Linked DNA regions of Mus musculus. The protein of the gene in region 2 purifies or fractionates together with the protein of the main gene of each other region. This does not show direct contact. Links are inferred from orthologs where the notes say so. Each region holds a gene or a part of one and is shown on either strand. Other genes may lie near its edges.

Region 1 (4,752 bases), on a different chromosome or scaffold from region 2:
CTCACAGAAATCCACCTGCCTCTGCCTCTTGAATTCTGGGATTAAAACTGTGTGCCACAATGCCTGGCTTGGAACCACAGTCCATAATAACCTATCAGTTTTATTTAGTCAAACATGAAAACATGACTGGAAATAGAATTGTTTTGGGGTGCTGATCGGCAGTGAGCACTGATCATGGGGACCACAGTACACAGCACTGAGGCAGGCTGTGTTAGGTGTTGCATACATTGAGAAGTAAGCAACCCCTCCCACAGGTCACTTGGCAGTAATGTGCTCTACATCTTAACCAGACACATCACCTCAGGCACAGCTGTGAATAAGCTTGGCTATGCTCCAGTAAAACACAGCACAAGGTTTCTGACATGGGAGTATCATAGTATTCTTAAAACTGTTTTTGAATCATTTAAAATGTAGTAATACACACACGGTGGCATGTGCCTATAATTCCAGTACAAGGAGGCAGAGGCAGGAGGATTACAACTTGGAGACTAGCCTGGCCTACACAGTGAGACTTTCTCTCAAAAAACCCAAATCCAAACCATCACTGTCAGCTCACAGCACACAGTGTCAAGTGAACGGGAGAGCATTTTCTTACTAGCGTTATTCCTGAACCTATGACAGACAGGTCAATTCCTGCCACCTTAATGGCAGGGAAATGGATGAGAGTTTATTCAACCCACCTAAGGTTACAAGTAGCCACTATGTAGCTAGACCCTAGACACTTCAATTTAAGCACTGCTACCAGGTACAGAGCTACATTACACTTGAGCTTTGGAATGGCAGGACTGGTTTGGGCCTTTGGTTATATAGATCAGGCTATCTAAGGCCTAGAGAAGCAGAGGGACAAATTGTTGCAGTAATTTGGGGTAAGAAAAGACAGTGTTCTGGGCGACACTGATAGAGATGTAGACTAAGAACAGTAGACACGGATTGGGGAGGTATTTACAAATGGGTGCTTCCTTGAATAGTGCTCCACTTGCTTGGTGAATGATTTTCACAGAAATGAAAGAAACTGAAGTCATGATTTTTAAATGCTATCTAAATCTAGCTGGAAAAATGTACTGTCTTTTAATATAAATAGCCATTGTTTAAAATGATGGATCCTATTATTATATCTGATTTGCTGATTAATTCAAAGTGAAGTGCACATTTCTTTTTCAAGTATAAATGTTAGTTGAAGTATTTCTGCTTAAAAAAAAAAAAATTCCGAATTCATCACAATCAAAGGCCAGGGATCTCTCCCAGGTAACTAACTCAAGTTCCAGATTCCTTGCACTCAAGTTCCTTTGGCTCCTGGGGAGCAGCCATCCTTTAGAACCAGAGCGGTTGATGGCCTGAGGCAAGCCTCTTAATTCCCAGTACCTAATTAACTCACTCTCGAAACCCGGCCCACTCCTGCACCAAGCCCCTCCCACTCGCCCGCCCACCTAAGACTCCTCCTACTCTATTCGCGCGCGAAGCACAGCTCCACCCACTCCCCCCGCCTTGCTCCTGGAAGCTCGGTCCACCCTACCGGCCGCTCGCGAAGCTCCACCCACCTCACCCGCCCGCGAAGCTCCGCCCCCTCCTGCCCGTACCCCAACACCTTCCCTTCTTCTGTCGCTTCTCCCTCTCCCTGCCCCTACGGATGCCTTCCATTGGCTAAGACGGCTAAACCGCGCGGGGATGCAGCAGCGCCACACTCTGATTGGCTAATGACTAAGCCGGACCCTTTGTCATTGGTTGATACGAGAAACCAGCAAGAGTGGCTGTGCAGCGGGCGTGCGGCCGCTGCTTTGTTGCCGGAGGGGGCGGCGTTGGAAGTTGCAGGCTTGCGGGGCCGGCGTTCTCAGGGAGAGGAGTCACGCCGCTGTTATCTTTCGTCCGGTAGTCTTCGGCCAGTCCCCGCCAGACAGTAGCCATGAGCGGCGGCGTGTACGGCGGAGGTGAGTGAGCGCAGCGGCGCCTCGGGGCGTGCGGACCGGAACGACCGGCCTGGTCCCTAGTCGCTTCCGTTTCCCTCCGGTCCTCGGCGGGCCCTTCCGGTCTTTGGACGGTGCTTCCGGTCCCCGTATGGGCCACGGCCTCTCCTTCTCTTCGGACCCGGGCCGGCGCGCAATAGGTTTCCGGCTTGTCCCGTCGCTGCTCCGAGATGGCCTCAAGGAAGGGCCTTGGCGCGTCTTACCGGCTGGGCTCTGATGGCAGTCCCTGGCACGCCGGGTCCCTCACTGTACCGGTTCCGCCGCGCGTTGGTCCCGGGCAGCTCGCGGAGGTTCCGGGCCCCCGGGGTTGGCACTGGGTGCGAGTGGCGCCCGGTGTTGCGGCTGCTGCTCTGGGTCCTTCAGCAGCCACTACAGCCTGGACATCGTTCCAGGCGTGCTCGGTCCCCAGATGAGCGGATCCCTGAGGTACAGGCTGCAGTTCTCCTGTCCGGCTGGGCGGGAGCCTTTTCTAGATCGGCGATAACGAAAACAAGGCTTCTAAGTACTGTTTTGTTTAAGAGTAGTTACCTAGTTAGAGACTCTCCTCTAGGGGGGATGTTGACAGGAGATGGTGCTGCCATCCCTCACGTTAACGAAGAAAAAAATATTGGCAAGAGTTAAACAACCAGCTCAAAGTTTAAAGACTCGTTGTAAATTGGGAGCAAATTGCTTCTGGGATGAGGCAGGGGTATTCCTTTCTCTGCCGTGTACAGGTAACACGCACCCATCAAGAGTTAAATAGTATCCTCACACTAACAAATCTATATCTGCATTGAGTCAGTAGATCTGTGCCCACTCATTTTAACTGCTGTGTAGGGTTTTCTGAGAATAAACTATAGTAGTTTCTCTAGGAACGGTAGTCTTTTCCCTGGCAAGAAGTGTGACAGTAATAATTACCGTTAGCTAATATTTATCGGCTTATTGTTTGTCAGCACTGTAAGTGCTTTATACATTAAAACATTCAAGGCATTTAGTCATCCTATCCTATGAGGTAAGTATTAAATACATTTTTCGGATTAAACTGTAGCAGAGAAGTTAGTAAATTACCCATCTCACATAGTGTATTAGTCATTTTTCAGTTGCTGTGATTAAAAAAAAAAAAAAAACCAAGAAACAAAAAAACAAAATCAGCTTCTAGAAGAAAGAGTTTACTTTAGCTTATGATTCCAGAGAGGTAAGAGTCCAGTTTGAGAGAGGTATGGCAGCTAACAGCAGGCATGATGGTGGGGCAGGAATCTGGGCTCACGTGTCCAACCTCAAGCATGAAGCAGCTGGAAATAGTGGGGGCTTTAAACTCAAAGCCTGTCCCCCAGTGACAGCTTCCTACATCAAGGCCCACATCTTCTAAACCTCCATAAACAGCACCACCAACTGGGGCCCAGATGTTTAAATATCAGCGTCTATAGGAGACATTTTCATTCAAACAGTTGCATATGCATCTCCTTTTAAACTAGGAATTTCTCCAAACTGGGTATGTCTAAACTAAATAGCTCTGTGATTCTCTTTGGGTGCCTCTTTGTAACTAGCACCAAACTGGGTAGATTGGGCATAGATTGGCTTTAACTAGAGAAACAGAAGAACTTTTAAGGCCTTAGCATTTGAGTAATGTAGGTAAGTAGGATTAGTGTTTTAAATTTTGAGGGGGACCCCATTGAAAAACCAGTACTGAGAAACCCAAGTGCATTATCCTAGGAGGCCTGCTGTTTGGGGTGAAGTATTTGGAAAATATACATGGAGGCTTTTCTCTAAATTAGACTGAAAAAGATTGCCAGCTTTTTTCTTACCACTAAACTGTCTCCTAAAGTCTGGAATGTGTAACTTAAATGATACGTTCATTAAATGCTTTTTACTTGGCCTGTATAAATTACACTCTAATTTCCATGCTGTGCAGTTTTCATATTTTGCTGTGTTTCTTCATTTCATGAAACAAAACATAATTCCCCATAATTGATGAAATTGTACTAGGATGTATTCGGTGGTTTTTATTTTTCTTTCCTTTGTTTGTTTGTTTGATTTGTTTTGTGCCACCAGATTCCCTTGCTGTCATTTATACACATCTTGTGCCTGTAGAGATGGCCTCTGGGCTTTCTCAGCCTCTGGTTTCAGCTTTGAACTTTGATTTGGTGATGGTAGGGTAACTATACTTTTTGCCTGTGCTTTTTGTTTTAGTATAATCGTTAAAAGCTGGTGTTCCCCACCCAAGTTAAAATGCCCCAATTTGGATGCTGCATTATAGAGTCTTCCTGGGATTGCAATCTGAGCTTGGCCCTCCCTCCCTGAATAGGCAGCTTAGCTCTGCATCATTCAGCTGTTACCACAGCTCTCAGCAGAAACCTTCTAGGTTCTGGGAACAGTTTCTTCTTGTTTCCTCAGTTTAAGGATTATGAGGGCAGTCCTTTGTTCATCCTTCTGTACCTGGACTATAGAAGTTTATAATTAGTTCCTTTAGTAAGGAAACTACTACCTGCTGTCAGTGTACCATGGCTTTCCTGATTAAACCTCCATTGATAAAACAGTATGACTTGCCATATTTTAATTAAATACATCTTGAAGGTGCATTTAATACTAGGTTCATGCCAGACATGGTGGTGCATAGTTTTAATCCACTTGAGAGTCAGAGACAGGATCTTTGTGAGTTCTGTGACACGTAAGATCACAGAGACACCCTGTCTTGAAACAACAATGGTAAACACTAGATTCTAGCTAATCATGTGTGAATGTAATGGATTTTTACAAAGTTTTAAATTTTCATTTTATATACATAAAATATGTCCTTTTCTTTGTTGAGACA
Region 2 (4,223 bases):
CTCAGCAAGCCTTGTCACACAGCCCAGGGCCCTGCTTGGGAAGGGAGCCCCTCACTTGGTTCATCTGGTGCATGTGTATGTAGTGTATGTCTGTATGGTCCATGAACACATGTGGGTACACATGTTGGAGAAGGACATTGGGTGTCCTGCTCTATCACACTCTGCGTATTGCCTTGGAGGCTCTCACTGAACCCTGAGTTAGACTGGCAGCTAGAAGGCACAGTGCTGTACTCATAGTTTTGGGATTATAGGAAAATGTCGGCCAACTGAGCTGTTTGTTTGTTTGTTTGTTTGTTTTTCGAGACAGGGTTTCTCTGTATAGCCCCAGCTGTCCTGGAACTCACTCTGTAGACCAGGCCTGCCTCTGCCTCCCAATGCTGGGATTAAAGGCTCATCACTGCCCAGCACTACACTGATATTTTTGTATAAACTCTAGAATTTAGACCCTTGTGTTCACACACCAAGCACTAGGACACTTCTCCAGTCCATATTATTTTGAGATAATTTCATGATTTTGTTTGTTTTTTTGAGGCTCTGATGTAGCCCAGGCTGGTCTCAAACTTCCAATTAGTAGAGAATGACCTTGAATTTCTGATCCTCCTGCCCCAACCTCCTCAATGCTATTATTACATAGGAATAAACAACCATGTTCCATTTATGCAAAACTGGCTATTAAACCCAGGCCCTGTGCATGCTAAGCGAGTACTCTAAGCAACTGAGCCCTCCCACCCCCCAGCCTCTACCTGGTTTAATCGATGGGAAAGAAAGCCTGGGATCCTCAGGTGGGTGGGCTCGGCGCTTTTTCCGCCAGCGTCTGGCAGGATAGGAGTATAACTGTCCAGAGGCCAATCCTGTGGAAGAGAGGAAGGAAGAACAATTAAGCCCTAATCCAGCCCCAAAAAATGATGGCAAACATTTTGTGGATGAGAACTCTGTTGAGTTCTAGAGCAAGGGAGTGATACAGAACACGTGAGCCTGGGCCAGGTGGGGATACTTCATGGAAAAGAAAAACAGATATCAGCAGAAGTACGCAGCTGTTCTTAGTCATCGGGAGATCATAGCTGCTTCAGAGGCCAAAAACAAAGGCTGGCTGCTTCGTCCTCTCCATTCTCATCTACTGGGGTGAGCAGTGGAGGAGCCTTCAACTACCCCATCTCCTGAGGGACAACAGACACTTTCTTGTGCTCCTGTGTCACCTTTCCCAAAGCCTGAAACTTTACCTGGTCCCCGGTGTCGCTTTTCCATCCAGATATAACAATTGCTCTGGGCTACTCCAGTCTGTGAGTCCAGGAAAGGCAGGCGCACACTACGTTCAGCACAGAGGCGGGCGTTATAATTGTGGCACTGTTCCATGGCATCTTTGTAGTATTGCTCGCCAAGGCTGTAGGAAGGTAAAACAGAAGGTGGGGCCACGTCACCCTTCTTCCCTGTCAACTGCTTCTCTCAAAGGCTCAGGAGTCTAAGAGGCTCTCTTTTCTGTTATTTGCCTCCTATTCTGCCTCAAGGGACAAGAAGAACCATCACTAAGCTATCACACAAGGAAAGACAAGTTACTACGGGCTGGGCCAGAACCCCTAAATAATAATCATTGTGACACATGATTTTATCATGTGTATAATCAGACATAAGCTTTTTAAATATTTGTTTGTTCTGAGGCAAGGTCTCTTTCATTCTGCAGTTTAGGTACTGAACTCGTGTAAATCCTCCTGTCTCAGCCTGCCAAGTCAAACTTAAATCTTAATCCACACAGAGTGAAGCGTGGCCAAGGAAATAGCTGTGGTAGAGATCTTGTTCAGCCCACACAGGGCTCTGGATTCAATCTGCCACTACTGGGAGAGGGAGGGACAAGAAGAAATGAATTGCTCATTCTGTGGTTCTCATGTGTCCAACTCATGCAAGTTAGTATGTTACTCGTCTTACCCTAAGCATCTGGGCTGCAGACATTACTGTAGATAGTAACTTCCTCTGACAAATGGGGAAAACAGATCTAGAGGACTGGTCACAAGATTTTTAGCACACTATTAGTAGATTCACCCCTCAAAATGCTATTTGGTTAGTAAAAAAATGAAGCTCTTCCTAGTCACATTACCCTCACTTCAAGGCCAGCTGGGCTGCATAGCAAAACCCTGCCTCAAAACCCAAACTACGGGCGGTGGTGGCGCAAGCCTTTAATCCCAGCACTCGGGAGGCAGAGGCAGGCGGATTTCTGAGTTTGAGGCCAGCCTGGTCTACAGAGTGAGTTCCGGGACAGCCAGGGCTACATAGAGAAACCCTGTCTTGAAAAACCATTAAAAAAAAAAAAAAAAACTAGGCAGGGTTGGTGGCACACCTGTAATCCTAGCACTTGGGAGGTAGAAGCAATTAAGTCATCCTCAGCTAGATAGCAAGTCCAAGGACAGCCTGAACTACATGAGACTAAAAAAAAAAAAAACAAACAAAGAAACAAACAAACAAAAACAACAACAAATTATCATTGAGTTGGGCCTGGTGGTGCACGCCTTCAACGCCAGCACTCGGGAAGCAGAAGCAGGATCTCTGGCTTTGAGACCAATCTCATCTACAGATCGAATCCAGGACAACCAACACTAAAGAGACCCTGTCTCAAAACCAACCAACCAACACCAACCAACCAAACCAAAAACATAACAAAAACACTTGTTCTTGAGGAGGGCCTGTCTGGGTTTGGTTCCCAGAATCCATATAGTGGTTCACAACTATCCATCAACTCCAGGTACAGGGATCTAATTCCTTCTTCTGACCTCTGTGGGCACCAGGCATACATGTGGCACACATACATACAGGCAAAACATTCATACAAATGGATAAAATTTAAAAGCTCTTCAAGTACAAACGATCCAAAGGTGATTAGGGGGAAAAGAAAGGCAGGCACAGTACTAAGGGGTGTCATGGGATAGGACCACTCATGTATCCACAAGGTAATGTAATGCTCCAGGAAGAGAAATTCCCCAAGTTCCTCAAAGCTTTTACTAAGCACTAATACTAACAGAAAGTCTGTTACACTAAAGCCCATCTCAGGCTCTTCCTGTCACACAACTGACACCCAAAATTTTCTGGTCCTGGAGGAGGTAATCTGAAATCTGAGAGGGATTTTCTAAGTACTTTAAGAAAAGACGGCCAGGCGGTGGTGGCGCACGCCTTTAATCCCAGCACTTGGGAGGCAGAGGCAGGCAGATTTCTGAGTTCGAGGCCAGCCTGGTCTACAAAGTGAGTTCCAGGACAGCCAGGACTATACAGAGAAACCCTGTCTCGAAAAAAACCAAAAAAAAAAAAAAAGAAAAGACAAGAAACTGTAGAGCTAAGGGTTTTGTGGTTCAATGACCCCCACCTTGTTTTGGTACAAAAGAGTAAGCTTTAAGTCTGTAAGGACTCATAGTTATAATCAATCAATCAATCAATCAATCAATCTTTTTGTTATTCTGGGGCCCATATGCAGAGCCTCCCAAATGCTACATGTATTCTACCACTGAACTATATCCCAGTCAAATATTCAATCTTTTTTTTTTTTTTTTTTAAAGATTTATTTATTATTATATGTAAGTACACTGTAGCTGTCCTCAGAGACACCAGAAGAGGGAGTCAGATCTTGTTACGGATGGTTATGAGCCACCATGTGGTTGCTGGGATTTGAACTTTGGACCTTCGGAAGAGCAGTCGGGTGCTCTTACCCACTGAGCCATCTCACCAGCCCTCTTTTTCTTTTTTTGAGACAAGGTTTCTCTGTATAGCCCTGGCTGTCCTGGAACTCACTTTGTAGACCAGGCTGGCCTCGAACTAAAAAATCTGCCTGCCTCTGCCTCCCGAGTGCTGGGATTAAAGGCGTGCACCACCACGCCCGGCTCAATCTTTCTTAGATAGAGGCTTGTGTAGCTCATACTGGACTCAAACCCCACAGGCAGTCAACAATAACCTTGAATTTTTGATCTTCCTGACTATCTCCCCAACTACCACAAGCACTACCACATGCAGTTTTAGGGTGCTGGCTAATCAAACCAGGATCTCTTATATGCTAAACAAGCACTCTACCAACTGAGCCACATTCCTAGCCTCAAAAAGCACACACTGAGGGCAGAAAGGACTTCTTACCCATAGCATCCCGTTTACCCATAAGGTGTCTAGATCGCATCAGGGTGGATTTGGGAGTGAAAAGCCTGGCTTGGCTCTAACCACCACATGGACACAGCCATGTAACTAAGTAACCTGTA

The links. The genes of interacting proteins can lie anywhere in the genome.
Region 1: the proteins of Dpf2 (region 2) and Actl6a purify together in Homo sapiens (affinity purification with mass spectrometry; 5 studies listed by BioGRID and IntAct, counting the BioPlex papers as one, with this or other methods). This does not show direct contact. The link is inferred for Mus musculus from reciprocal best matches to the Homo sapiens genes DPF2 and ACTL6A.

Annotation. Positions count from the first base shown.
Region 1 is NC_000069.6:32,706,956-32,711,707, forward strand, and holds the start of Actl6a (actin-like protein 6A), read left to right. Parts: upstream 1-1,590; 5' UTR 1,591-1,900; coding exon 1,901-1,925; intron 1,926-1,980; exon of another isoform or gene 1,981-2,387; intron 2,388-4,752.
Region 2 is NC_000085.6:5,905,781-5,910,003, forward strand, and holds part of Dpf2 (zinc finger protein ubi-d4), read right to left. Parts: intron 1,382-4,223; coding exon 1,221-1,381; intron 852-1,220; coding exon 744-851; intron 1-743. UniProt on the Homo sapiens protein: Plays an active role in transcriptional regulation by binding modified histones H3 and H4. Is a negative regulator of myeloid differentiation of hematopoietic progenitor cells. Might also have a role in the development and maturation of lymphoid cells.